Notamacropus eugenii: one gene and its partners. The protein of the gene in region 3 purifies or fractionates together with the protein of the main gene of each other region. This does not show direct contact. Links are inferred from orthologs where the notes say so. Each region holds a gene or a part of one and is shown on either strand. Other genes may lie near its edges.

Region 1 (7,626 bases), on a different chromosome or scaffold from region 3:
CTCCATCAGTCACCACCACACTATCCATATGTGGAACCATCGATTATAACAAATGGAGAAGTTTTGAATGCTGTGGATAAGTTCACTTACCTTGGTAGTGTACTTTCCAGGGATGTACACATTGACAATGAGGTTGATGCACACATTGCCAGAGCTAGCTCAGTGTTTGGGAGGCTCCAAAGAAAAGTTTGGGAGGGAAGAGGTATTAGACTGACTACCAAACTGAAGGTCTACAGAGCCACTGTGCTGACCTCACTGTTGTATGCCTGTGAAACATGGACAGTCTCTCAGCGTCATGCCAGGAAACTGAATCTCTTCCATTTGAACTGTTTTAGGAAGATTCTGAGGATCACCTGCAGGATAAGGTACCAGACACTTAACTCCTTGCTCGAGATGAACTGTCAAATATTCAAACTATGCTTCAAAGAGCACAACTCCAATGGGCTGGCCACACTGTTCGAATGCAAAATACGCTTGCCAAAAAGACTATTTTATGAAGAACTTGCATGGGGCAGACGATCATCTGGTGGTCAGAAGAAGCAACACAGGACACTCTCAAGGTCTCTCGCAAGAACTTTGAATTTGATTATGCAACATGGGAGACACTGGCACAGGATTGTTCAGCATGGCATGCCCACATCAGAAAGGGTGCTGTGCTCTTTGAGCAAAGCAGAACTGAGACAGCACAAAGTAAATGTAAGATGCAAAAATTTGGGATATCCACCCCAAATATTCACACAGACTATCTGTGCCCAACCTGCAGATGAGCATTCTGAGCTCATATTGGTCTGATCAGTCACAGTCGGACACACTGAAATTTCACTTTACTATGGTGATGTCATTTTGGTCCTCTTCAAAGATGACGGTCAACAACCACCACCAACCTTGGCCATGGTCTATTTAATTAACATCAGTACCATGGTAATGGGTACACATCCTCCTCCCCTGTAAAATGTAATATCTTAAGAACAAGACCCAGTTCATTCCTTTGTATCCCTTTTACCAGGCTGTCGACTGACTAACGTGAGACACTACAAGTACAGGCTGAGAGAGGCACTAGACAGCTTATTGAAAACACCTTGGAGCTCAGTGTACTGAGAGTTCAACAGGTGTTCCAACAAGTGATTTACAAAGCAGATCTAAAACCCTCAACCCAGTTATCTTATCAAGAGCCTACCCAGCAGCCTGGCCCTCTAAGGCAGAAACATTACACTGCCCTGTCTCCACTGATTGTCTCATCTGACCAACTATTGTAGACAAGCAAATCCCAGCAATGCCTTACTTAATTCCCTACTTCCACTCATCTTTTGTAAAGCAACTCTGTGAACACATCCTTGCTTTTGTATTTGGAAGCAGCTAGGTGGCTCAATGGATAAAGCTAGGTCTGAGGTCAGAAGATTTGAGTTCTAATCTGGTTTCAGACACTTAACTAGTGGGCTAGCCAGTAGTTAACCTTCTTCCTCTGTAAAATGGGGATAATAATAGCACCTACCCCCCAGCACTGTTTTGGGAATCAAAGGAGGTATCTGTAAAGTGCTTACCACAGTGCCTGGAACATAGTAACTGCTAGCTATTATTATGGTATTTGACTCCTCAGGGCTTAGCATAGTGCTTGGCACTTTATAAGTGTTTAAAAAATGTCTTTTTATTCATTCATCCTCATAGTACTCTATTGAAGTCAACATTGAACTTTATCATGGTGATGTCATTTTGGTCCTCTTCAAGAACGAAGGACAACAACCAACTCTATTAAAGTCAACATACACACCAACTAAGGCTGTAACTAAATGGATCGGGTCTCCTGGTGACACATGCGTCCAATATGACGCGATCAGCAAGGGCTTATTAGCTGAAAGGGGTGAAGAAAGAGTCTAGGAGACTGTAAAAAATGCAAAGGAGTTAAGGCCTTCTTAGTCATACTTTAAATTTAATTCTCTAAATGAGAACTCTCCAAACCTGGGGAAGCTAAGTAGGTAAACAATTGCCCACCAACCACTTCAAACATTATTTTCTTCTCTTAAGCACATTATGTGTAGGTTATTTATGTATCACATCTCCCTACTGAGAAGAAGGATGGAGAGAGACAGCCTAGGAACCTGAAAAAGGAGGCCGGATTCAAAAACATCTTGCCTCTGACCCTGAGTGTTGTGGCCTTAAAATCACTTAAACTCAATTCTCAAACACTACAAGCTGCAGGGAAGAAGCCAACCTGCAGTGGTAGTGGGAGCTGTCTCATCCAGTAGTTTCCTACATCAGGGAAATCTAAGTTCAGGTCTTAAGGGCAGGAAACCTTGACTAAACTTTGTCTTTGTCCCTCGACCTGACAGACTTATTGAGAGCCCCAAAGTCGATAAAACGAGTTTTCCGTTGAAGGTAAAGAGAGATCAATGATTTGGTTCAGACAAAACTGATAATGAAGTAGGAGAAAGCTGAGCTGATCATGTTATTTTTTCTTCCACTTTTTCTACCCAGGAAAATGCCCCTCAAGCTGGGAAGTCCAGGAGGACGACCCTGCGGGAGGTGCAGCTCCACCCCACGGGGCAGGACCAGGACGCGTCCGAGGTCTCCACCGCCTCCCGAGCAACTGACTAGGGCCTGACAGCCCGGGAAGAAACCTCGTGCGCAAAGGTGTGGGCGTGGGCGCAGGCGCACTCAGAGCCCCAACGCCCGTAGAGGGCGGGGCGGAGTGCTCCGAGCATGCGCCCTAGGCCCTGGAGCACAGCCCCAGCTACATTCCCTGACTAGCCCGGGCGCCCGAGGAGGGAACGCCCCCAAGCAACACTCACGTCCGGCTCCTTCGCTTCACTCACCTCCACTGTAGGAATGGGAGCGGCCACCTGCTCCGGAGTCAAGTTCCCGAACTCCTCGGCTAGCACGTCCATGGCTTCCAGTCGCCACTGCTACACCCACCTCTGCGACCCTAACGGCGGCGGGCGGACCGCTACGAGCGTGAACACCCGGCAGTGCAGCACCCAAACCTTTCCCCCTCGGCCAGTGCACCACGCCTGACGGCGAAAAGGTTCCGCCTGCTTTTAGGGACCCTATGGCGTCATCGGCAGGACCCGGATGTGTCTTCGGCGGAGCTCCGCCCCCTGATGAAGTCACAAGCCCCGCCCATTCCAGGGAGCACGCGCGGAGGGGGAGGGGGAGGGGCGAGGAGCCTTCCACGTGGCGTCCCCAGTCTGGGCTTAAGTGCTACGTCTCCTTTCCCAGAAAAACTTCGGCAAAGGGAGACTTCGTCCTTTCGTCCTGCCCAGACGCCAGCGCCTCCAGGAGGCCCATCCTTCCCATCATTCTCCCAGCTGAACGTAGTGGATGATTATAATATAAATATATATCATGAATAGCCCTAAGTTCTGAGTTCAAACCCTACCTCCAGGTGCCCCCCAAGGTGACCCTGGACAAGTCACTTATAAAAATATGTACATGTGTGTAATGTATGCCCGTGTGTAATATAATATAATGCCTCACATATGTATGTGTATATATGTCTAAGACATGGGAGAAATCTATATGATCTAGGTGTGTGTAATAATGACACGTATGTGCACTTTGTAATAAAGTTATAGTACATGTAAGATGTGTGTAATGTGTTTGCTCTAATGTGCGTGTGAAATGTATAAATATAATATAGGGGGTGTGTAATATGTGTGCAAGCTCTATGTATATATGTAATATAGATCTGTTTATGAACATTTGTGTATGTACATATATACATTATATATTGTCAGATTATGTATATATGTAATGTGTAATGTAAGATATATGTTATGTTTAATATATAGTATGTGTATAGAGCATATATACATATAATATACGCTATACTATATGACAATATATATAACAATAATATGGTGTAGTATATGTAAGATATGTCTGTGTTATATGTATGACAGGTGATATGTGTGTATATATACATGTATAATGTATGTATATGTGTGTCTTATACATATATGTATATTACATATATTCTACTGCTGTGTGTATATACACATATATGTTCACATGTAATATCTATCTGGGCTTCAGTTTCCCCATCTGTAAATGAAATCATTATTCTCAGTCACCTCTAAGCTGCCTTTCAGCTAGGCTTCCTTGAAGGCAAAGTGCATAGTAGATACCAAGGCAAACTTGTGTTCGAATCTAGCCTCACACACATAACTGTGTTTCTCCATCTGTAAAATGGGGGTAATAATAGCACCCACCCACCTCAAGCCTGACATACACTTAATACAGGTTTGTTGATTATTTGAGGACCATGGAAATTTGCTGTGCCATGCTCTTTAAGCATCATTCTGAAAATGTTTAGAAAAACAATGTTGTCGTGAGGTACAGATGGAAAACCACATCAGAATGTCTTCTCCAGCATGGACCTAGAGTAAAATGATGAAGGAAGATGTCTTTCAATCTACAGCCTCCCTTTGGGGGAAAGGGGGGCGCCTTGGCCTCTTTCATCACCCCCAACATCATCAAGGTTTGCCTCGTGCCTTCTCTGCCACAATCTGCCTTCCCAAAAATATCTGATCAATTCAGTCACAGCAATGGGTTAGATGGTTAGATCCAACCAATATTTATTGAAGGCTCATCAGTTCCTCACTGGAGCCTACAGAAAGATGTGGTTCCTTTAATCAGGTCGCTTCCAGTAACGATTACTGTCTAGGGTAGCTGAATCCAGACAGAATATAGAGTTGGGTAAACAACCTTGAATATGGAATTTCAAGTATCAGTGAGCACTTGGGGAGACTTTTTTTTCCTAGGTATACTTAAACTCTTGAAATCCTACCAAGGAGAACTCCAAGTACCAACCATTGAATCTGTGGGTCTGGGTAGGAAAAACTATGAGTTCATTTCCCTCTCCTTGCATGGCTGATTTTGAAAAAGGCTTTTGTTTAAAAGGACCTTGGGTGACTCAAGAATTTCCTGGAGCTCTCCATGATCATTGGCTTCTTTCCATGGGGCCCACTCCAACATCCTGACGAGTTTCCCGTCAAACGGAAATCTTGGTTTAAGGTGATGAGGCTGGAAGTCTTCGAATATCAATAAGATATCCATTTACTATAGAAATTCCCAAGACATCTGCAGATGTTCTCTTTTCCCATAGAATCTAGAATGTTATGGATAAAGAAAAGAAAGCAGAAAAGATGACAGGCTGCCAACTCCATCCTGTCTTGACTTTTGGAAATCTCATCTAACTGTAAAGCTGCAACTCAAATGCCAGCTCCTCCAAGAAGCCTTCCCTGATTTCTCTTCCCCCTCCCCATCAGAAAGTATTTCCATCCTCCTCCCTTCCAAAGCATAAGATCATGGACACAAAGGTAGAGAGGACTGCGGAGGTCATCTGGTCCAGCTCCTTCATTCTACAGATGTGTAAACTGAGCCCAAAAAAATTTAAGTGACTTGCCCAAAGTCACACCAGTAGAAAGAGGCAGCATTCGAACCCAGGTCCTCTGATTACAAACCAATGTGCTAGATTTGGAGTCAGGTAGAAGAGGAGTTTCAATCCTGCCCCAGACACTTATTAGCTACATGACCTTAGACAAGTTATTTAACCTCTCTTAACCTCAATTTCCCCAACTGTAAAATGGTAATCGTAATGGCACCTACCTTCCAGGGTCAATGTGGAATGAATTGAGATAATAGATATAAAGTGCTATGGAAATCTTAAATGACTAGAAAAATGCTCATCCTTCCTTTGATTTTTCCATACTCCTTGCCATTTCAACGCAGTCATATACTTACATTACATTCTCATCTATTCCAAGGCTGTTGCATAATCTTGCATACTTGTGGCTTATGCTCCCCTACTAATTAATGACACTGAGGCAGTTAATGTCACAGTGCACAGATCCCTGGATTTGGGGTTCAAATCCAACCTCAGACACTTGCTAGCTGGGTGACCCTGAGCAAGTCATTTCACCGTTTGCCTCCCTTTCCTCATCTGTAAAATGAGATGGAGAAGGAAATGGCCAATCATTCCAGTATCTCTGCTGAGAAAACCCTAAGTGGAGTCACTGAAAGTCAGATAGCACTGAACAAAGGACAAAATTCGGCCAAGTCCAATAAGGCTCAGCCCCTATTCCTCCCCCATGGGTCCATACCTGGAATGTTCCTCCTCACCTTGGTTTCTTGGAACCCCTGAGGCCTGGCATGATTCACTTCAAGTTTCACCCACTACCACAGTCTTCACTGATTTCTCCCTGGTTGGTGAGTGCCCGCCCCCGCCCCGAACCACCCGAACCACCCCAACCATAGGCACCCAGGCAGGTGCTCAGCACAGATGCCATTGCACCCTAGGTCTGACCTAAGTCCAGCCCTGTCCCCACCACCCCAAGCCCCAAAGCAGAGACACGTGATGAGAGTCACTTGGAAAACAGCAGATGAGACTCCTGATGAACCAGATTCCTCACCTCTCGACAAAAAGGGCATGCAGAAGGAGACATACATTTGCAGACGTTGCCACGGCATAGATTTTTTATTTTGTTTGATCATACTTATTCATTACAAGTTTTTGATTTTATTTTTTTAAACTGGAAGGGGAGAGCAAGGAAATGGGCTCCTAAGTGTTATGGCCAAAAGAAAAAAGAAACAAAGGGCCATTGAAGTATTTTTTTTAATAGACAAAAGAGAACCAAGGGAAATTCAGAGGAAGACACAGAGAGCAGGACAGCTTTGAAACTACATAAGGAATTTATTATTTTAAAATGTGAGCTCATTCCAAGTAGGGATCTTTTCAGTCTTTGTACCTGTATTTTTAACTAGAATAGTTGGTGCTTAACAAACGACTGATTGAGGACATACTTTCTAAAAAACCAAGTTGTATATAAGAGATTTAGAGTTTCATATACAATCCTCCTTTTTCTGTTCTCTTCTGTATATGGAAATATCCACAACTGTTGGCATCTGTCAAATAAAGAATAACAAAAAAACCAAAAATGACTAAAACAAAAAAATAAAATAACAAAAAAATAAAATTTTAAAGAACAGAGAAGAACCTGGTGGTCTACGTAACAGGAAGATGATGATTACCTGATTAACCGAGGCTTAAAGTCCCTCAGGGTCAGCAGTATTGGATGAGTCCCTGAAAAGCCCTCCCCCCATGAAACAGACATACCAATCATTTTTTAAGTCAATGCTTTAATATTTAACTGAAAAAAAAAAAGAACATTGCCAGCTTGCATGGAACAGGTTCTTGCCAAAATTTTCAAAAACAGAATTTATGCAATACATGAAAATATTAGTTTTACATTTAATAAACCTTATATAGCAAAACTTGACCATGTTAAGAAACTTTAAAATGGAAGCCAATGTTTAAGCAATCTTGGGATGAACTACATCCAGGAAGACGGGGACTGAGACACCTTCGTCAATGCAAGTTGCCTAAATCCAGAAATAAATTCATTTTGTCACTTTTAAAAAATAAAATGCCCTTATTTAAAAATGTAATTTTTTTTAAAAGTGTACATTGTTATTTTTTCTTGTGATATAAATTAAGTGCATAAAAGAATCACAACTGGATTCAAACTTTATGGTAAAAACATGTTTTTCTTTTATCTCCCTGTTTTAAACAGGATGGTCACTTACTGGAAGAGATGAAATGTGATTTACTGGAGCTGTATCTTCTAAGCC
Region 2 (7,534 bases), on a different chromosome or scaffold from region 3:
GCAGGTGGCACCTTCTCTGAAACTGCTCGTGCCCACCCTGGGCCCAGGGGCCTGGCATGTCACAAATACATCATACACGTTGACTGGACTGATCTGAATTAGGAGGAAGGCCAGGCCTGGAGCCTACATCCACACACTCCTAGACCAGGTCTCTTTATCCACGTGTCCCAACAGAGGCGTCAGGCAGTGTTCTGAGGCTGGCTCCCCTCAGTGGGTCTATTTGGGGGGAAGTTACCAAGCAAACACCTCAGTCCCTGTTCTCTACATGTGGTCTGGGCCAGCCCAAGCCTGGCTGTTCCTTGTGGTCTCCTTCTACGGCCTCTCAAGCACAGCAGTTTCTAGAGAAACAGTGGACACACCCATAAGATTACTCCAGGGAGGAAAACAAACCCAAATCTCAAAAATATTTACAAGCTGGAGGCTGGAGTGTGAGAGGCCAGGACACAGCAGAGGTGGTGAAAGCAGCTAGTCCAAGCCTAAAGTGGGCAGGGCAGGGAACAGAGGACTCCAGTCCCACACATAGCCCAACAGTCCAGAACAGACATCTTGTGATCCAAATGATTCAGCAGCCTCCCCTCCTACCTCTTACCTTAGAGCTTTCAACACTGTCCCCTAAGTCAGGTTATCTACCCACACAATGGGAAATAAGAACAACAATCCTAGCTGTCTATTTCTAGGCAGTTACTCAGTTCAGTTTAGTCAAGTCAATGTTATCAAGGCTAAGGGTGTAGAGATGAAAGGGTAGCCAACTTCTGGCCTCAAAGGGTGGTTGATCTAGCGGGTAGAGAGAAGGAAGAGGTATGTACACAGAAGTACCCAAATTGGAATACGATTAGTTAGGTGCACAGGAGGGATCAAGAGAGATTCTAAACAGCAGGGTTCAGTTCCAGTTGGGATCCATCAGGAAAGGGTCCCTGAGGTGGGCCCTGAAGGGACAGTAGGATGTCAGGAGGCAGAGGCCCTCTGGACAGTGAAGAAAGATGGGTTGGACTGGGGGGAAGGGGGAAAAAGAGAGAGAAGATCCCTGGTAGTAAGACCATTAGAAGCCTAATTACAACAATCCAGGTGATGAGGGCTAGGGGGTAGTGGTAGAAAGGAAGAAAGATGAGCGATATGGTGGGGCCAGAACGAATAGGGTTTGGTGACTGGACATGGGAACTAGGAGGGAGATGGAAGAAGCACCATAAACAGAGAGAAAAGGAGACACAGTATAGGGTGTTTTGTGCTTCAGGAGAAAGGAGTTCAATTTGATGCGCTCAGTCCAATAACAGTGCTAATATCCACTTTTTGGGCCCATAAACACACAATTAATGCCAGTGGCCCTGCCTCATAACCCAGAGGACAGACAGACTCAGCTCTCCTGACAAAATCCTTGGCTTTGCAGACTTCAGAAAAACTGCTACATTGTATTAATGTGCCTGTCCCCACCACCCTCCCTCCCATTCCCCCAATCCCATTTCCTCCTCTCTTCTTAGCTTTCCCAGCCCAAGGCCAACAGGAGTAGAGGAACAGTTGTTGACTTGTAGGTTAGGAGGGCAAGAGTTGCTATCCTGCTTTTCCAGATGGGGAAACTGAGCCTCAGGGAGGAAAAGTACATTCCCAAGGTCACAATTAAGACAAATGCAGATCAAGAACTCATAAGATTGGTAAATTTTAGAGCTGAAAACTCCCCCTCCCCCTCATTCTACAGCTAGGGAATTTCAGGCCCCAAAAGGTGAGTTTACAATAGGGGGAAGGGGTCTGTGAACTTGGATGGAAAAAATACATCTTTATTTCAATAAGCTTTAACTGAAATTTGGCATTTCCTGCAATTACTTAAAAACATTCTTCTCAGTAGGGGACCTATCCAGGCTGACAGAGGGATCCAGGAAGAGGCGAAAGATGGAGAATTCTGCTATAAATAGAGTTAGAAGTGACCTCGGAGGCCAACGCCCTTGTGTTACAGAGAGGGTCATGGGGAAACAGGAGGGTCTTCACGGGTCATGGAACTGGCCCTCTCATCTCAGGGAATGGAGAAAGAGATGACCCAGGGAGGTTAAGAGACTAGTCCTCGATCGCACCCCAAGAAAGCATCAGACGCAGGACTAGAACCCAGGGCCCTCCCTTCCCAGCTTGGGATCGAGGGGACTCAGAGGCCGCCTGGCCCGGCTTCCCCACCATTAACAGATAAGGAAACTGAGGCCCAATAAGTGAACCGGTGCCAGGGTCACCCCGCTGTCGAAAGGGCCTGCGGACCCCCGGTGCGGCTACTTCAGGGCACCCGCGGAAGAAACAAGCAGCAGGGTCGGGGATCTGCCCCCTCCGCCCCCTCCTCCTTCCCCTGCGCGTTCTGGAGGCCAGTGGGGGGGGGGGGGGGGTGGCCTTCGCCCCTGCCCCTCCCCCTCCCGGCTCCGGCTTCGGAGAACAATCGCCCGCTGACGTCTGGTCCGCAGCCCGGTCCCCTATGGCAACCTCCCCCACCGCGTCTCTTCCTCCCTCCCGCCACCCCCGCCTCGGCCCCGTCCCGGGATTTGGGAAGGGGTCTGGGCCCGACCCGGGACAGAGCGAGGCTGGCTAGGGGCGGCTCGCGTCCGAGGGCTGGGGGGTCGGAGGGAGGGCGGCTCGCGCGCCCGCCCCTAACGGCCCTGCGGAGGGGAGGTTGGGGCGCAATGGCCCCCTCTCGGCCGGGCCCCCCGCCTCGGCCGGGTCCCCCCTCTTCGCCTCTCCCGCGGCCGCGCAGGCCGCTCAGGCTCACCATACTGCTGGAAAGGCCGGGGGCCGCCAGGGCTGCGCACAGCAGAGCTGGCTTCACCAGACGGTAGAGGCGGCTGAAACTCATTTCGGCGGCGGCGGGGGAGCCTCCTTCCCAGAGGCGGTGCCCTCCCGAGCGCCCCAATCAACGCGCGCCCGGGGGGCAGGCCGTGCCGAATCGCCCCGCCCTCAGGCCTTCAATCACTGGTCCGAATTGTGGCGGGGCTGGATAGGCGGCTCAGTCAGCCAATCAACAGGCCGGAACTGTGGCCTCGGGGGGCGGGGTTTGGGGGTGTGGCCAGGACTGGGGCGAGGCATTGTGGAGACTAGCTACGTCCGCAGAGCACCTGACGCCCAGATTTCTCGTGGCCTCAGGGGATTGATGCTGGGGTCAAGTCGGTCCAGGGACTGCGGCTTTCCCTGTGTGGCTTATTTACCTGGACAGTGTTCCCCAAACAACCTGGCACTCAACTCTCTGTCTCCTAGACTGTGTAACCATAGCCTATAGGGTCCAGTTTCAGCCTGCTTAATCTGCCTAATGATGATGTAGAAGGGTAATTCGGTTATCAACTAAGCCAGAAAGTCCAAGTGAGTTATCTGCACATCTTTCCCAGCAAGTCACGAGGCTGACTCACAGGCATTCAGGGCTACTAATTCCAGGCCCCCAAGCGTAAATCCTCAGACTTGCAGGATTTAGAACCGGAGGGACCTTGAAGATTATCTAGTAAAATCCAAGAAGCTTCATTCCTTGCCAAGCCTGCATGGAAGCCTAAGGAAGAAATCCTCATACTTAGTATGTTTGGCGAGTTTTGGAAAGGGAAATTCCTTGGGACCAGCAGAGACAAAGAGAAGGGCTTTGTTGAGGGGTTCCCAGTCTTGATGGGATCAGGATCTGGGGAGAACTGTTAAAAATTAGGTTACAGAGGCTCTGCAACTGGGGAGTTTCCTGTTAATTTGATTTTCTAACTACCTTTCTCTGTTAAATCTTCTTAATCTCTGTGTTTTCTGGTCCTTTACAAATAAATCTTGGAAAACATACTCTTTTGGTCTGGAGTGTGTCGTTTACCTAGGATTCATTAAATCTTAAATTAAAATCCTACTTCCAACATTCCACCTTTGTGACCTTGAAAAACTCACTTGTTCTTAATTCACTTAACAACTAATTTGTCTTGTGCCTTCTATGGACTGGATGATCTATAAGATCTCTTCTAGATCTGAATCGATAACTTATGAAACTGGGGGTTCCCAAATGGTCCCTCTCTTTTGTTAGGTGGAGATTTAAAGAGATGACCCTAGTTATTGTAAATGAGATTCCTGTTCTGATATAAGTTGGACTAGATAACTTTTGAAGGTCCTTCCAAATCTAAGATTCTATGATTCCCTGGACACCAAGATCAGTGGGAGAAATTGACTACCTGGAAATAAACTGCCTTGACACTATTCCTCAGTATCGGAAAAAATGCTGAATGTGGAATCAAGACTGATTATCACTAAATTGCTATGTAACTTCTCTTTCCTCTTCTATGGACCTCAGTTTCCTTCTCAATAAAATGAGGTAAATGACATGGATTTTCATGAGAGCTGCATGACAAGGGCAATGACTTGTCTAAATTTTGTGTCTCTCCTGGCACTGAGCACAGAGAAGAAGCCTAATATTTGGTGATGTACCTCCCTCCCAGTTCTGACCTTCCAGGATCTCAGAGCTTGAGGAACGACAATTTGGAAAACTACGACTCCCAGGCAGCCTTGCTCCTAAAGACACGCGAGAATTTCTCAGGGGGTGGGGCTTTGCCTGGAGCCTCTAACAAAACAACTAACAGCCGACCTCCGAACGCTCAGTGGTCGGCTTGTCTGTCACACTGCCTGCTCCCTTACTCTCAGGCATTTCCTAAGACACCTCAGCCCAGACACGAAGGGGGCCTGCTGTTGGGCCTCACGCAGACGCACTCGTATCCATGTTCGGCCTCGCGCAGACGCACTTAGTTCCTTCAGGGTCCTAGTTGAGGGGCGTGCGGTACTGGAGAACTAGAGAGGTTTTAGTCCCTTATTCGGCCTGACGCGACGAGGACATGGATGACGAAGAGGAGACCTATCGACTATGGAAGATCCGCAAGACCATCATGCAGGTAAGACAGTAGTCTCCCTTGATCTCGAGAGAGGTAGAGGAAGGAAGTGAGCGCGTTAGGGTAGAGGGCGGGTAAGGCAGAAGGCTAGCGCGTGGGGGGTTATGAGAGGGGAGGAGGGAGAGAGAGAGGCGCGTGGGGGGTTATGAGAGGGGAAGGCTTGAGAAGCGGCGCGTGGGGGGTTCTGGGAAGGGGGAGCGGAAGCTGGAGAAATGCAGGGGCGGGGGGAGGCGGGGGTGGGTGTTGAGAAGGGGCGGGCCAAGAGCAGTTTGGTGAGGGAGAGACTTGAGAATGGGAGGGGGTCAGGCCCGCGTGGATCTTTTTGGAGGAAGGTCTGCGTGCTTTTACTTTACCATGTACTGTCATTTCATCAATCAGGAATATTTCTATGCTTTCTCTGAATCCTTGGGGTATATTTGTCATTTCTTATAGCACAGTGATATTCCGTTACATTCATGTACCGCAGTTTGTTTAGCAATTCCCCAATCAACGGGTATCTGCTCGGTGTCAGTCCTTTGCTGCTACAATGTTTTGATGTACGTGATACTTTTTATCCTTCTCCCTTGATGTGATACTTTTTGTCCTTCTCCCCTGGGCTAGCAGGGGAGTCTCTGAATGAGTGAATTTTAAAAGCGCTTATTACTCAGCGCTCTGCCTGAGGCTGGGGATGCAGATGGAGAAAGACACTCCCTGCTTTCTAGGAACTCACCTGGAGAAGGTGTCAGCTGCGAGTCAGATGGAAAGGTCCCATGGTCCTCAGAGTGCAGTAGCAAAGCAGATAGTAGGGTATCATTTTTAATGTTTCCACTGCTAAAGTCATTTCCATTGCTGATACCGAGTCATTTGATAGCTCCAAGGACAAAGGAAATTCTTTTCTGGGTCTTCAGTAACTTGTGACTGTAACACCTGCAGAAGCAATTGGTAGACCACATCTTCCATAGGACTTGTTTCCTAGGGTGGTGGCTGGGCTAAAAGTAGCAGGACCCGTGATCTAGAGGAGGACTGCCACTCCCAGGACTCTTGGGCTTGCCTCCTAGTTGGTGGCAGTTGGTATTGATAGTGGCAAGGAAGGTGAGCCCCTTCTCCAGAGTGATTTCTCCTGGAAGCAGGATCCCTAGCTAGAAATAGGGCTGGTGGGCTTGGGGATATTTAAAAAGTTTTTGGAGGTGGTAGTGGTTGATCTTGGCTGGAACGTGATGCCTTTTGTTTTTCTCTTATGATGAGGGCCTTGCTTCTTAAGCTGTGCTGATTTGCCTACTATGTATACAGTAGTTGGTGATTTGGTTTCCTTAAGGCATTACAATCTTCTACAGGAAACCTTTCCCAACCCTTCTTAATTCTAATATCTTCTTTATCAATTATTTTCTGTTCCTTCTACATATAGCTTGTTTGTACGTATTTGCTCATTGTCTCTCCCATTAGATTCTGTTGGGATCCCCCAAGATTCTGGGCTGTGTCCTTTGAGGTTTGAAGGGAGGTGGTGGTAGAGGTTTGACTCACCTTGAATGAGCTACCTCTTGTTACCCTTAGGGTGCTTTGCTGCATCAGCTAGCTTGTTTGCCTGTTTCATAGGCAGAGGCTATGGAGAGGTTAGTCACTTTTTGGGGGTATAATTCCAAATTGCTTTCACCAACAGTAAATTAAGTGTACCTGCCTTTTTGCACTCCCTCTCCAACATTGATTATTCCTATCTATTGTGGGTTTGAAGGGTACAAGGTGAAATGTCATAATTTTTTTTGGATTTCCATTTTTTTTAGAACATTCTTTCAAATGGTTAACAATTTGCCATTTTTCTTTTGAAAACTTTGTACATGTGTTTCGATCATTTATACGCTGGAGGTTGGTTCTTGGTCTTATACGTGTTAGTTCCTTTATTGTCTTGACCATCAGGCACCACAGACAGAAAGGCCCCCATAAGCACCAATATAGAAGCTTTTTTCATAGCAAAGAACTAAAGCAGATTCCCACAAGTGGGCATGACTTAAAATTGTGTGTGGTACATGAGTGTCAAGAATATTACTGTGCTGTGAAAAAAACAACAAATGTGAAGAATTCAGAAAGCATGGAAACATTTATGAAGTGAGGCAGAGTGAAGTAAGCAGAACTGGAGTGGCGACAACAATGCAAGTGGAATGGAGCAAGGCCGAACTGAATGCTGAGCAATTATATTGATCAGACTTAACCTGGAAGAAGAAGTGTGAAAATGCTGCAGAGGTGAAGACTGTGGATCCAGAACGTTATCTGTGGATCCAGAACATTATCTATGCTATTTAAAAAAAAAAATCCTACTTTATTTTCAGTTCCCAATTCTCCCTTCCCACAGCCATTGAGAAGACAAGAAAAACAGAGCTCATTACAGACATGTGTAGTCACGCACAGCTAGCTCCTCTTAGCCATATATCAGAAGGACTTTGCCCTGGGCCTGCACCTAGAGTCCCTTGGAGTTGTGATCAGAGTTCCCGAGTCTTTGCAGTGTTGTTGTTAGCTTATAAATTGTTTTGCTCACTTCACTTCCAGTCAGTTAATGTCTTCCCAGTTTCTTTCTGAAACCATCCCCTTCATCATTTCTGCTCTAACTTGTTCAGCCAGTTCCCTCGGGGATGGGCATCTGCCAAGTTTCCAATTCTTTGCTGTCACGAAGAGAACTGCTATAAATGTTTTTGCATGTCTCTCATTTTCCT
Region 3 (7,302 bases):
GTTGAGAGCAAGCACTTAATGCTTGTTGAACTGAATTTTCAGCAAGGCTGGGGTGGCATCATGGCAAAGACACTGCACTTGGAGAAAGGCCCCAGTTCCAACATTTAGTAGCCCTGTGAGCCCCGCAATTGTGACCCCAGCGAGTCACTATAAAATGGAGAAAATACTGTTGGTAAGAAAGTGTTTTTTTGTAAACCTTACAATGCTATAGAAACGTGAGTTGCTTTCTCCTGTGGTGACACTTAGGCTTGTCCTTGGACAAAAGAGACTGCCTTTCACAGGTCTGTACTAGAAGTTCTTCCAGCCTGGCAGAACCTTCCCTGGCTTGTTTTCCCCTCGTGTAATCCCTGTGGAAATGGAAAACAACCCAAGAACCATGGTACTGAGTTTCTAAAGCAAAGAAGCCGGGGTTGGGGGGCAGTGCTGAAGTGACCTCTAGGAGTTAGAAGACTTAGACTGCTATCTTGTCTGGTAAAATGTGGCCTACTCGCTGCAAAAATGGAGAGCATAACACCTGCATTATCCACCTCACAGACAGTGCTGAGGACAGCATTTTGTAAATCACACAGTGCACGCCCGTGGGCCACCGTCATCACTTTCATCACCACAAGGTTGACAACCGGTTGTTGTCACAAAAGGTGGTCTTTTTTTTTTTTTTTAAAAGCCACAGCAACACATGAAGGTGGCCTGCCTGCTGGGTAGAGAAAGAGCTTTGATCTGAGTCAGTGAAATCTCAGGTCCTTTAAGGATAAAAGAACTGCTATTATCATTACGGCTTATTATGTATCCTTGACTATTCCTTCTCCTTCACAGCCCATCAGTTGCTGAGTCTTTGTAATTCTACCACTAAACATCTCTTGTATATATCCCCTTCAGTCAGAGAACCACCAGCCTAGTACAGGCCTTCATAACTTCCTAGGCTACCTCAACAGCCTTCTACTGAGTTTCTTCCTTCTCCCACCTGACAGCCACACAGCTGCCAAATCAGTTTTCCTAAGGTCTGATGATATCACTTCTCCCACTCAAAAATAAGTTGCTGGGGGTGGCTGGGTGGCTCAGTGGCTCAGTGAATACAGCACCAGACTTGCAATCAGGAGGTGTTGGGTTTAAATCCAGCTTCAGACATTTACTAGTTTGTGACCTCGGCAAGTAACAACCCTAGTTGCCTCCACAAAAAAAAAAAAAATGTCAGCAGCAAACTCCTGTTTGGCATTTAAAGCCCTTCACAGTCTGACTCCACCTTATCTTTTCAGACTTATCCCATATTACTTCATCTCACACACTTTCAGTTCCAACCTAGATTACTTACTCTACCCCCATGCCTTTGTATAGGCTTGCACGAAGTGCCTGGAAAGCTCTCCTTCCTCACCTCCACCTCTTGGAATCCCTAGCACCCTAAGACTAAGTTCAAGGGCTAACCTTTCTGGATTTACCACCGCCACAAAGTACTCCCCTTGGGCTCTTCTCTCCTCTAACTCCTTATTTGTGTTGTTCAGTCCTCATTTCTAATTCTGAACCCATCTGAGGTTTTCTTGGCAGATACAGGTTTGCCATTTCCTTCTTTAACTCATTTTACAAATGAGGAAACTGAGGCAAACAAGGTTAAGTGATTTGTCCAAGGTCACAGTGTCTGGGACTGGATTTGAATCCAGGAAGAAGAGTCTGACTCCACTCTGTTTGGTATTGACTTGTCTGTGGATATGTGATGTCTTCCAACACAACATAAGCACCAAAGGAAAAGACTACACTCATTTTCATTAGGTGGCATATAACTTAATAAATGTCTGTGAAATGAATTTCCTCTTCAAGTCTTTTCTGATGCTTTATCTTGGGAAGGAAGCAACTGGGATGCCAGAGGAACACAAAGCATCCAGTACAGACCACTGCTGTCCAAGGACAGGGCACTACTGGCTATGGGCAGACAGCTTCATCACCAGTCTGGCAGTAAAGGGATGGAATTTTTCAACCATACCAACTCCATGTGCTTTCTACTAGGCAGCCCAAGATCAAATGTGACCTCTGAGGATGCTTACTGGTTGTGTGACAACGGGAGAGTCACTTCACCTCTATCTGCCTCAGTTTCTTCATCTGTAAAATGGGCATCATAACAGCACCGGCCTCCCAGTATAGTTGTGTGGATCAATCGAATAAACTATTTGTAAGGGTTAAGGTATTTATTTGTTCAGCACAGAGCCTGACACGTGGTAATTTTATTTTGTCTCATTTAAAGGTTTTCTTTTTAATGAAGCACTATAAGGTTTAAGGGCGGGGACACCCACACTGGAGACATCAGGGGTCCCGGCAGCGAGGGATCCACCTAACTGGACAAGCTTTCCCTACGTGCACTGGGCAGTCCTAAGGCCATAACGAGGGCACAAGCCAACCAAAGCCCTTACAATTTCAGAGGGGAATGAGCTGTGATAAACTATGTAAGCAGATAAATATGATTTGGGTTGGGAAAGAACACTAAAGACTTTGGCAGGAGGGGGCTTCCATCAGCACCAAACCTCGGGGTTGAGCCTGGAAGGGCGCCACAGGCATGAAAAGTACAGAGAGCAAACCGACCGTACAAAGGCTTGGAGGCAGGAGATGAAGTCTACGGAAACCGGCCAGAGGAAATGGACTGCAGAGAGAGGAGGATGGAAGAGCGTGCAGGAGGCCAGGAAAGGAGGGCTGGAGCGAGCCTGGGCGGGCGGCCTTCTGGAACTACCCTTTCTTACCTTCTTGACGCCCCCTAGAGTGAGGTCTCTGGAACGGATGGAAGGGAGGCGGCCCGGGGTTAAGGGGGCCGCGGGCCGCCGCCCGATCAGCCCCCGGGCCCCTGGCAGCGAGGGACGACTCCCCCCGGCGGGGCCCGGCTCCCCGGCCGAGTTGCCCTCAGACATCCTGAGAGGGCCCACAACCTACAGCCACGTGGCTGAGAAACCTCGGCCAGGAAGGCGCAGCGCCCACCTCGAGCCGCTCACGCCAGCCTCGCCCCCGCCGCCATGGCTGCGACTGCGGCTGCGCCTGAGAACCGGGCGGAACTTGGCGTGTAGCTGCTGAGGGCCACCACCTTGAGGAAGGGCGGAAACCAGTCTGGCCCACCGCTTCCGTCTCGTTTCCTTGCAGGTCTAGGAGACTCTGAGACGAGAGGCGGAAGTTGATAGACTAGGATGGGCGTCGCCATTTTAGTAAAGGGCAGAAGCGAAAAATGCCGGTATCCTTTGCTTCTTTCTACGGCCGCCGTAGCTCGCCTCAGTACGCAGTTTGGGTGTAGCCGTCTTCTGAAAGGGCAAAAGGGCGGAAGTGCGGCCGTGCAGGGGGAGGGGCGCTACGATAGAAGGGCTGCGCTTTGCACGCGCATGCGCTGGAACGTTTGCTAGCGCTGAGGGCCTCACACGTGGAGTCTGGGTGCTCTTTTCGCCTTCAGTCAGTAAGTGAGGACGAGAAGAACGCGACGAGACAACTCCAGACCCCAAAGACCCTACCCTATCCATTAAGCACCTGCCGTGTGCCAGGCTCTGCATCCCCTAAATGCTGGGGAGACAGAGGCAAAAAAGACCGTCCCTGCTCTCCAGGAGCTGAGGGGCTAGCGTGGGGAGCAATGTGTGAACGGCTATGTACGATAAGCAACAGAAGGCATGCTCGAGGGTTATAAGCATATGCAAAACATATGCAAAGTGCAATCAGCGCACTTGTGCTAGCCCAGTAGCCCTGGCCTAAAACGGTTTAAAGCAGGAGGTAGCGCTGGCGCTGACGTCCGGCCTCCGCTAGGTGGCGCCATAGTGCACCTGGAGGCTGCACCTGGCCTCAGGAGGGCTCCATCCACACGAGTTCCAAAGTGGCCTCGGCTGGGTGACCCTGGGCAAGTCACTTTACCCTGTCTGCTTCAGTTTCCCCATCTGTAAAATAGGCTGGAGAAGGAAATGGCAAACCCCTCCAGCACCTTTGCCAAGAAAACCCCGACTGGGGTCACAAGAGACCGGAAGTGAGAAGCAGCAAAGGCCAGGCTGCAAAGAGCTTTCAGGACCACAGGGGGCCTGTGTCCGATCCCTTGGTGTTTGCTGAATGGGCAAAAGGGCATGGGATGAGGGCTCGAGGGGTCAGTAGAATCCAGGGATGGGTTTTTAAAGAATGAGCACTTTTTAAATCAGAGAAAGAAACCCCTGGATGGGAGGAGGCCGGCCTCTTCAAGGCCTCTCCTCCACAAGGCCTGTCCTGGTTCTGCCTGTCCCCTCCCCTCCCCCTCCCCCTCCCCCTCCCGCCGGCGCTTCTTCTTCTGAGGTTGCTGTCCATTCCTCTGGGTCAGGCAGTGGACGTGTGTCCGGCGAGCTCCGGCCACCGCCCTCCCAGGCTCCTGGGGAAGACGAGGAACAGGTATCTGGAAAACAGCCCAAGCTGTGCTCAGGAGGGATAGGAAGCAGTTAAGAGAAGGAAGACACAGTGGCATCCTGGAGAAGGTGGGCTTCCTAGAAGCCAGGGAAGCCAGTAGTGGAGATGAGGAGGGAGAAGACTCAGACACGGGAGCCAGCCAGAGACCATGTCTGCAGCCAGCAGTGGGGTGTCTGGTCCCTGGGAACAAGATTTCCTGTTTTCTTCCACAGAGATTTTGGAAAGGGAACTTCTCCTTGGGTGAGACCAAGCCCACTGTCTTGAGTAAGTTGGGTTGAGCTTAGATCTTATCACGTACCCATCTAAAGAGTTTGTTGATTCTTGGGTATGTTCTGGTAAATTATATTATATATATGTATGCATATATACATATATATACATATATATATATAGTTTCCTCTGATTTTTGTTTGTTCGTTTGCTGGATTAATGGATTTACTAGCTATTCACTATTTATGATGGGTTTTTTTGTGTGTGTCACTACCATGTGGTGGGAAGGAATCAAGCCAGCAGGTGTCAAAGTGGGTTTGGAGCTACCCTCCTCCTTTAGAGTACCTAGGGAGGTGTCTTTCTTTCTGGATCCTTACAAATCAGAGCAATATTTATGGAGGCAGAAAGATATAATTCTAATCTTGTATTCCTCTTGGAGACTGGAGAAAAGAACAGTCTGCTTGGTAGTGCTCCTGGGATCTTCCTGCTTCTGTCTCCCAACTGGTGTGCTGACAATGGTATATCCACTCACCTCTCCTTAGAGGTAAGCTAGACTTCAGATGATTTCTCTCCATGCCCTGAATGAGCCTCATCAATGGAGGGGAGCCCTCCTAGCTTACACTTTGATGATTTGTTTGTCCCATGAATTTGCCCCTCATGAATAGAGATTGTTTCATTCTTTGTATTCTATATTTGAATCCCCAGTGCCTTGCATAGTGCCTAGCATATAATATAATTGTGTTTATCCTTCATTTTTGAAGAAGACCATGATATCAGAGAAATAATGACATGACTTGCACTTGACTTTGTTTTGTGTGAGGGAGGGCTGTGCAAGGTCGGCAGCCTCACTTCTCCTCTAGAGCTATCATCAGGATGACTGGAGACAGCCCAGGATGCACTGGGAGACCTTGACCTCTTTAGGCTAAGGCCTATTGAGTTACTCACTTAGAGTGAGGTAATGCCCATTCAGTGAATAGGCCTCTTTAAGCTCTTAAGAAATGCTTTTTGATTGAATCAAATATATATATTTGATTCAATATACATTGAAGATGCATATATATATATAAATATGTGTCTGTGTCTCTGCGTATTCTAGTGCTTTGTGAATCTTAAAGTGCTTTATAAATGTAAGAATTTTTTTCTTCCATTAACATTTTTAAGGTTATTTATTTTCTTTGCATTATAATAATGTTTCTTACCACCTGAAGAGCATCTGTTAAAGTAGGAAAAAATTACAGTCTGTGAGATTGGAGGGCAGGGCCACATAGATGAAACCCAAGTATAATAAGGAACTTTGAGAGTTTGATCAAAACCACAGTATAATAAGGACTGTTACTTTGGTAGTTTGATTATAAAGCATCTGTGCCTGATTGTTCTGTGACACTCTTGTCCATACCCTCTCCTAAATCCACAATGTGCTGAGGGCCTTTTTCTAACTCTTTTGATATGTTCTGGATCAAGTGATGTATGTGACCATCAGTTATCCCTCTACTTTGCTACATAATAATAATAACTAGCAGCTAAATAGAACTTTCAGATTTGCAAAAGCACTTTGAAAATATCATCTCATTTGGTTCTTGTGACAGCTTTTAGAAGAAAGGTCTATTATTATCCCTGTTGTACAGATGAGGAAACTGAGGCACACAGCGGTTATGTCACTTGCTCAAGATCACACTAAAAAGGTGTCTGAAGCTGGATCTGAACTCAGATCTTCCTGACTCCAAGTTTAGCAGTCTTGCTAAACTGTTCCCCCTAGCTTCCTATATGATTAGTCAATTTTTTTTTTGTGGTCATATCTTTCTCTGATATTTCTTTTGCCACCATTTCTGCACAACTCCTTATTTGCCATGTTACAGTTTACTCACATCCACCATATGCTTTTCCATTGCCCTTTGAGTGATCCCCGACTTCAATTCTGTAAAGGATTGTAGTTTTCCATGACTCATAGCCATATGGCATCACTGGAAGGATATTGGTGATAAAAAGATGAATCTTTATTTTGGTAAAAAACTTAGGATCATTAGCTTATAGCAGGAAGAGGTCAAGGGAACTTCTGACTTCCTGGCCTGGGGCCTAGAAGATGGATATGTTCTCTGTTCCCTTGCTGAAGTACATGGGCCATGTTAAAATGATGTAGTAACACCTTATTGTTCCCTGTAACTGGTGGGTTGTGTTGAAAATGTGTTAAAAGGAGCTGTCCCTTCCATGGACTATAAAAAAACTTGGGAGAAAAATATCCGCATTTGGGATGCACCGGGTGTTTTCTCTCTGTTGGAATTACAGCAAAGGGAAGAGGGAGGGAGGAGATTTCTCTTTCTCTGTCTTCCCCAGGCGCAGCAGTGACCCCAAACAGAAAGCGTGAGAGCACATGCTTGCCCAGATAAAACTGAGTCCTAGGCCATTTGCTTCTTCTGCATTTGTTTCCCTCCTTGACCCCAGGTCAATGAACAACAATTCTGAGAAATGAAGATTTCCAACCTTGGCAACTGGAATTGGATGCCATCTGCCTAGTAGCTGATGATTCCTGTCACGGCATTCTTCTCAAAGAAAGAAATGACCATAGAGGGGATCACCCTAAAACACGTGAGATTCAAGAACCTTGCCTGACTGACCAGAGAATCTGAACCTTGTGACTTCCTTGGATAATGCAGATGTAAGGTGAATGTGATATAGCAGTCCTGGCTTTTTTCAGGAATACAATGAAATTGGTTTTTACCT
Region 4 (7,320 bases), on a different chromosome or scaffold from region 3:
ACATGGGGATGTGAGCATCCCTTTCTACAGATACCTTTGACATCTTGCACCTGAATAACACCAGGTGAAAAGCATCGACTCAGCTCCTCAGCTGCTTCCCCCTCTACTGGCTGGAGGAGAGTGATATCTGGCAATAATCTGTAACTGGCAGTGGCTACAGGAGAAAATTTTGCATGGTCTTTGCCTGGAGAGGAAAAGCAGAGATACCCCTTATCAACCCCCTCATCTTCCATGCTTTACACTGCACTACCATTAACATTTCCAATCCAAAAATTTCAGGGCCCTTTCCCCCCACCCCCAACATAGTTGGACTAGCACCCAACAATCCTTACCTATGCCTTTAACGCAGTGCATGAGGAGGTCAAGCTCTTGGCCAGGACGTAGCTGAGCAATGAGAATGTCATCATGCACAGGACGAATAGTGCCTTCTGGGAAAACATCCGCTTGGTTTCCCAGGGGTATCCACGTCATGTGTTTTGTGTACACTACAGGATGAGACGAAGAATGTCAGTTAAAATTTAGGAGGGAAGTGTTACTGAGGGCCTAGATGGCCTCTGTGGTTAGTTCTAAGCTCTTAAATTTATGGTCTAATAATAGTGGCAGATACTCCTCCCACTTCCTCAAGCATCACTGGATTTACAGCTATAAAAGACCATATAGTTCAAACCATTTAAATTACAGATGAGTAGACTGGGGCTTAAAAGCTAATTTACCTAAGATCATATAAGTAAAGGAGCTGGATTTGCACCTTTGTTTCCCTGACCCTGTCATTACTCACCTTTGTGATTGAGATAAAGTTCATTGGGATCAGAGGAATCTTTGGCAGCTTGAGGATTACGGGTACATTTGACCTTCAGCTGAAACTGCAACGTATCTATCTCAGTGCCATCTTCATCACCTGCACATGACAGAGCAAGAGCGCCATCACACCAAGTCACAACCTCTCCCCTCTACAAGCCTCCACTCTCCTACCTTGGTTCCGGTACTCAAAAAGCCGGGGGTCTGCATGAATGGGAATGAGTCCCAAACGATGGGCCAGTATCTCATCCTGAACGATGGATGTGTTGTTGTACACAAAGACTTTTTCCACAGCCATGGTTGGAACCTAGATACAGAAATGATACTGATCCTTAGAAAGATATATATATATATAACACAACAGATCTTCTCCTCCACCTATGTTTCTAAGGACTGACTACTTTCCAAAAAAGAACCTGGGAGGGAACAAGCATAAGCAACCACAAGGAAATAAATATACAGAGCTGCAAAAAAATGAGCCCAAGTAGTTCAATGTGGCTAGGACAGGGTGGTTCCCTCCTGTCAGCTTCTCTGCCCTCCTGCCCACAACACCGTCACTATCGCCGTCACCACCTCAGCTAATAAGATCCTCCGAAAAGCGTTGGCAATGGCAGCATCAATCCCAACCATATCAAATTCCAGCGAGCTTTCATCCATGTGCACCACATCCACGCGGAACTCCTGAAAGGATGGGGGAGCAAAGGGTCTGTGAGGAAAAGGGCCCTAAGATTCCCACATTCCCTTCCCGGCGCAGGCTGGGTGTTTGGGGCCCCTGCCCTCCCAGGGCCTCCCGTCACCAGCTCCCCCCCCCACCGGGCCTCCCTCACCAGCTCCCCCCCCACCGGGCCTCCCTCACCAGCTCCCCCCGCACCGGGCCTCCCCTCACCAGCTCCCCCCCCCACCGGGCCTCCCCTCACCAGCTCCCCCCCCCACCGGGCCTCCCCTCACCAGCTCCCCCCGCACCGGGCCTCCCTCACCAGCTCCCCCCCCACCGGGCCTCCCCTCACCAGCTCCCCCCCCCACCGGGCCTCCCCTCACCAGCTCCCCCCCCACCGGGCCTCCCTCACCAGCTCCCCCTCCACCGGGCCTCCCCTCACCAGCTCTCCCCCCCCCACCGGGCCTCCCCTCACCAGCTCTCCCCCCCCCACCGGGCCTCCTCTCACCAGCTCCCCCTCCACCGGGCCTCCCCTCACCAGCTCCCCCCCCCCCCCCCGCACCGGGCCTCCCTCACCAGCTCCCCCCCCACCGGGCCTCCCCTCACCAGCTCCCCCCCCACCGGGCCTCCCTCACCAGCTCCCCCCCACCGGGCCTCCCCTCACCAGCTCCCCCCCCACCGGGCCTCCCTCACCAGCTCCCCCCGCACCGGGCCTCCCCTCACCAGCTCCCCCCGCACCGGGCCTCCCCTCACCAGCTCCCCCCGCACCGGGCCTCCCCTCACCAGCTCCCCCCCCCACCGGGCCTCCCCTCACCAGCTCCCCCCCCCACCGGGCCTCCCCTCACCAGCTCCCCCCCCCACCGGGCCTCCCCTCACCAGCTCCCCACCACCACCGGGCCTCCCCTCACCAGCTCCCCCCGCACCGGGCCTCCCCTCACCAGCTCCCCCCCCCACCGGGCCTCCCCTCACCAGCTCCCCCCCCCACCGGGCCTCCCTCACCAGCTCCCCCCCCACCGGGCCTCCCTCACCAGCTCCCCCCCCCACCGGGCCTCCCTCACCAGCTCCCCCCGCACCGGGCCTCCCTCACCAGCTCCCCCCGCACCGGGCCTCCCCTCACCAGCTCCCCCCCGCACCGGGCCTCCCTCACCTTCTCGAAGCGGCTCTGGTCCCACGCATCATCGTAGCCGCAGTAATTTCCCGGGAAGTCCGTGGTATGAACCTAAAGCAGAGGTGCACGTGAGGCTGGAGGCCGGGACCCTTTCCTCCGTACGGATCCCGGCCCAGTTCGTCACTCGAGCCTTACGTTTCGGACCCCGAATTCCCCGAGCACCACGCGGCTCCGCATCTCCTCCACCGCTCCGGAGGCCGCCATCCTAGCTCCACGTGACAACCGGGCGCCCACCGCGCACGCGTACAAGCCTTCTCGCGTCGTCGCCGTGGCGACAAGCGGCCCCTACGTCTCGCGAGACAGAGTGGACCTGCTTGTTTCCACGTCTACAGCTTCCGGGTGGAGTCGCCTAAACATCCGGTCGTCTTCCTTTTGGAGCATCCCACGGTGGGGGGACGCCCGTCTCCCCGACTCCACCTTCACTCCCGGGGGCCGGGCCCTCCCCCCTTCGCGCAGTAGTTGCGCGAGTCCGAGTGACGGGATCCTTCGAGGGACATGGCAAGCCCGGTGGCCCCGGCAGGAGGTACCCGGAACGGGGCCTCCCCAGAGTGGGGGGGCTTCGAGGAGAATATCCAGGTAATGGCCCTAGACGCCTCCCCGGACTGGGCGGCCTGAAGGCCGACAGATCCCTCGCGGGGTCCTCGTGGCTGCCCCCCGCCTCCGAGGACGCAGGTTCTCTCTCCGCGTTTGCGATCTCCCCCTTCCAGTCCCTTGCCGGGTGCTGGGGTTTAGAATTGGAGGCGCACCTTGGAAACCATGCAGTTCAGTGCCCTCGTTTTACAGAGGAGGAAACAGAGCCAGAAAGGGAGGCCACTGAGGCAGGCAGAGCCGAGGGATTCATCTGCACTTCCAGCCTGAACCTGCCCCTTGGGCGGCCCCTGTTTCTCCTTCTCGGGCCCTTGTGGAGCTTGGAGCTGGAGACCCCCCAGCCGGGAAGTCGGTGGCCAGGCCGCAGCGTGGCCCGAGCGCTCGGGCGAGCAGTGGGCTGGCCTCGCCCTGGCCACCCAGGGGGGAGGATGAACTCGCTCCTTCAGCACGTTTGTTCGGAGCCTTTAGTATACATATATACTCAGGGAGATTCAGAGAAGTTCGAAATTAAGTACTTGCACCTAAGGAACCGTGTCAATTTCAGAGTAGATTCCAGGCAATTCCATGAAAGATGCCGGCCAAATAGAGAAAAAACTTTCCTCGGGATGAAGGACAAGGAAGTGTATGATACGTGTACAGATTAAGCAGATGGAAAGTCGTTGCGGAGATCAGACAGCATTTAAACTGGACCTCGAAGGATAGCAACCCAGGAAGGGACGGCATTCCGGGTGTAGAGAGTGCTTCGACATGGGTGGAAACATACCAAGAATGTATTCTGGAACTTAGGTCCTAGGGAGCAACAGCAGAGCATGGGATCTGATAAGGGAGCCTCTTTTGCCTCTGTTTGTTGAGGGGGAAAGGTTGGGGGAGAAAATGTTCTTGGGGAACTCATTCTCTGTCCTCAATGGAGAGAAAGAGATGGGTAGAGGACAAGAAGCGAGTTTGTCTGGCTGGAAAGTAGAACTTGAGCCTGAGAAGTCTCAAAATTTTACAGCAAACTGCTAGAGTTGGGAGAGACAGAAAGGTTCATTTCAGACAGAATGCTCACTATGCACTATGCAAAATGCAAGGCACTGCCCTTGGCATTAGGGACACAAAGAGAGAAATGATACCGTCCTCATCCTCACAAAAATTTCATTCTTATTGGATGGAGGGGGGGATGTGGTTAAGAATAGATTTTTAGTTTTTGTAAATAAAAAGTAATTCTAAGAGGAAGAGGGCTAATAATTAAAGGGAACAGAAAAAGAATCAAGGAAGTGACAGCTCACTTGAGCTTTGAAGGAAACTGGAGGTATAGCAAGCTGGAGGCAAAGAAAGAGGGCTACCAAACATGAGGTGCAATTGTGCAAAAGTTACAAAGGCAAGAAGTGCAATGCTATGGAAATAGCAGTCCAGTTTGTTGTTAAAAGGAGTATATGAATGGGAATAATATGAAATAAGCCTGGAAAGGAAGGTGGAACCAGATTGTGGAGGACTTGAAATGCCAGCTGGATTTTTTGTACTGTTTTTAAGAGCAGTAGGAGAGTTTTGGAGCTCTTTGTGTCTGTGTGTGTGTGTGCATGCATATGCACGTGTGTGTACTCAGAATCATAACTAGATCTACGTTTTAGGAAAACCACTAAGTCTTAACAACTGCGGGACAAAGCCCCTTCCTCATTCCACCCACAACCCCAATCTTCAGATGAGGAAAAGAGGAACAGTGTTATTTAGCTGAATGGATGGATCAGAAAGATCAGTCTGCTATTAGATATTTATTAAATGCTTAGCACAGCACTGGGGAAGACAGCTCCTGTCCTCAAGGAGCTTGTGATCTAATACAGAAAGACAACACACAAAAGGAAGCTGACAGCAGGGAGAGGTACCTGAGGTGAAGTCCCAAAGTAGGAAAAAGAGAGAAAAACTGCTGTGCCTCACGAGCACACACACCTTTCTCTCCTTTAAACAGAAGCCCATGGCCCTGCCTTCCAGACATCAGGGTCCCATCATGGGATGGAGAGTACTGATGAGATGTGAGTACCAGGCAGAGTCAGTCTGGTTCAGATACAAACCATTCCTTTGACCAGCAGGGTGGAGGCTCAGCAGTGATTGACATGGAGAACATGGACGACACATCAGGATCTAGCTTTGAAGATATGGGGGAGCTTCACCAGCGGCTCCGTGAAGAAGAGGTAGATGCTGATGCAGCTGCTGCTGAGGAGGAAGATGGAGAATTCCTGGGAATGAAGGGCTTCAAAGGACAGCTGAGTCGACAAGTGGCTGATCAAGTAAGTAATACTGAGCTTCTAGCAGGCTAAGGAGAAGCAAGGTTCTGTCCCAGCTATTCTATTTGTGTCCCCTTCTTCAAGCAGGATGTATCATGCCAGTCAGATCAGAATCTCCTCTTCTGAAAGATATCTGCAATTTTTTCCATGGAGAAAAAAGCAACAGAGCCTAAAGCTAGTTTCTAGAAACCAAAGTAGAATCTCAGTGGATCAGCTTTATCTCTTTCTCTCAGATGTGGCAGGCAGGGAAGAGACAGGCCTCCAAGGCCTTCAGCCTCTATGCTAATATCGACATCCTCAGGCCTTACTTTGATGTGGAACCTGCCCAAGTTCGAAGCCGGTAAGAGTTTTCTTTCTCCTAGCTGCTCTCCCTGGCCCGGGCCAGGCCCACAACAGCAGCTGTGCTGTCTCTGCTTCCCTAATTCCCATATGAACTCCCTTTGGCCAGGTCTTGGGGGGGTCATGAGTAGAATCCTGATCTTAGGGCCAACTGGGCGCCTGTGAAGGTCACACTCCACCTGGTTCTTCACAAGAGCACACAGGTTCTAAAAGGAGAGAGGTAAGGTGTTTACCTGCATCTCCTCATTTTTCTTCACTTTCTATCACAGTCATTACTGTGCTCAGCCTTTCTCCCAACCCCCTAAGATGAGTACAACGTAGAATGTTAAGAGACTAGTAGTGGAAAGAGCATCTGGGTTCAAATCTAGGTTTTTATACCAAGTAGCTCTGAGATTTGGGGGAAGTCAGTTTACTTCTTTGAGCCTCAGTTTCCTAATTGGCAAAATAGGGAAAGTTCTTGCCCTGCCTACTTATAGGACTGTGTGTTGTGTTTCATAAACTTTAATCAAGACATAAAGGTAGGACTGTAAACTTGAACAAGGCCTTTAGACTCTCAAGCCTTTTTATTCATCCATAAAATGAAAGTGTTAAGCTGCATTGTACATTTCAACTCTAAATACAGTAATCCTAACAGTGATGGGGAACCTGTGGCCTTGAGGTCATATATGGCCTTTACACATCTTTGACAGAATCCAAACATCACAGAAAAAATTTTTCTGAACGGTCAAAGAGCTGTACTTGAGGACTAAGTGGGCCACATATGTCCTCAAGGCCACAGGTTCCCCATCCCTGGTCTAGGGAAAACAGGAGAATCATTTTTCAGTAACATTAGACACCTCCTACCCCCAATAACATAAACACACTTTTAATGCAGTCCACAATTTCGCAGTCCCCCTGCTAGACCTCTCCAAGATCTCCTTATTTCCCGTGGACCCAATCATCCTCAAATACTTTCCCCTCCTGGTGACAGTGAATAGTGGAAGAAAGAGATCCCTCCTAGAAAAAGTTACCCGCAACCCTGCCCTACTCTCAAACCTCCTATCTTATAGGCTCCTGGAGTCCATGATCCCTGTCAAGATGGTCAATTTTCCCCAGGTATGTGCTAATGATCCCTTTTGTCACTTGATGTCCCCAGCACCGTTCCCAAGTAGAAAATGATAGCCCAGGAAGGAGCAGTGGTTAGAATGTGCTGGAGCTTGGAAGGCCTGGGCAAAACCACTGAGAGGAAGGGTGGGAAACCTGGCCCAGGACTCGGGAAAGAGCTCCCAGAGAACAGTTAGGGGCCTGTGAGGGCAGAAGTAGAAGGGAAGCAGTCATTTGAACTTCCCAAGCTGACCTAGTGTCTCCACAGAAAATTGCTGGCGAACTCTATGGGCCTCTCATGCTGGTGTTCACCCTGGTTGCCATTCTTCTCCATGGGATGAAGACGTCTGATACCATTATCGTAAGCAGATGAGGGGGGTGGAAACTAATGGAAGAACTCTCCAGGGTTGCCCTGTTGAGCTCCAGGG

Evidence for each region.
Region 1: the proteins of POLR3D (region 3) and POLR3B purify together in Homo sapiens (affinity purification with mass spectrometry; 8 studies listed by BioGRID and IntAct, counting the BioPlex papers as one, with this or other methods). This does not show direct contact. The link is inferred for Notamacropus eugenii from reciprocal best matches to the Homo sapiens genes POLR3D and POLR3B.
Region 2: the proteins of POLR3D (region 3) and POLR2E purify together in Homo sapiens (affinity purification with mass spectrometry; 6 studies listed by BioGRID and IntAct, counting the BioPlex papers as one, with this or other methods). This does not show direct contact. The link is inferred for Notamacropus eugenii from reciprocal best matches to the Homo sapiens genes POLR3D and POLR2E.
Region 4: the proteins of POLR3D (region 3) and POLR1C purify together in Homo sapiens (affinity purification with mass spectrometry; 6 studies listed by BioGRID and IntAct, counting the BioPlex papers as one, with this or other methods). This does not show direct contact. The link is inferred for Notamacropus eugenii from reciprocal best matches to the Homo sapiens genes POLR3D and POLR1C.

What each region holds. Positions count from the first base shown.
Region 1 is NC_092874.1:288,740,547-288,748,172, reverse strand, and holds the start of POLR3B (DNA-directed RNA polymerase III subunit RPC2), read right to left. Parts: upstream 3,008-7,626; 5' UTR 2,883-3,007; coding exon 2,811-2,882; intron 1-2,810. UniProt on the Homo sapiens protein: Catalytic core component of RNA polymerase III (Pol III), a DNA-dependent RNA polymerase which synthesizes small non-coding RNAs using the four ribonucleoside triphosphates as substrates.
Region 2 is NC_092875.1:61,561,720-61,569,253, reverse strand, and holds the start of POLR2E (DNA-directed RNA polymerases I, II, and III subunit RPABC1), read left to right. Parts: upstream 1-4,525; 5' UTR 4,526-4,799; coding exon 4,800-4,856; intron 4,857-7,534. UniProt on the Homo sapiens protein: DNA-dependent RNA polymerase catalyzes the transcription of DNA into RNA using the four ribonucleoside triphosphates as substrates.
Region 3 is NC_092872.1:612,384,958-612,392,259, forward strand, and holds the start of POLR3D (DNA-directed RNA polymerase III subunit RPC4), read right to left. Parts: upstream 3,019-7,302; 5' UTR 2,886-3,018; coding exon 2,721-2,885; intron 1-2,720. UniProt on the Homo sapiens protein: DNA-dependent RNA polymerase catalyzes the transcription of DNA into RNA using the four ribonucleoside triphosphates as substrates.
Region 4 is NC_092873.1:106,460,674-106,467,993, reverse strand, and holds the start of POLR1C (DNA-directed RNA polymerases I and III subunit RPAC1), read right to left. Parts: upstream 3,006-7,320; 5' UTR 2,826-3,005; coding exon 2,757-2,825; intron 2,673-2,756; coding exon 2,601-2,672; intron 1,480-2,600; coding exon 1,372-1,479; intron 1,106-1,371; coding exon 973-1,105; intron 899-972; coding exon 779-898; intron 486-778; coding exon 333-485; intron 185-332; coding exon 35-184; intron 1-34. Other genes in the region: protein YIPF3, read left to right, coding at 3,117-3,197, 5,273-5,473, 5,704-5,810, 6,859-6,904, 7,161-7,253. UniProt on the Homo sapiens protein: DNA-dependent RNA polymerase catalyzes the transcription of DNA into RNA using the four ribonucleoside triphosphates as substrates.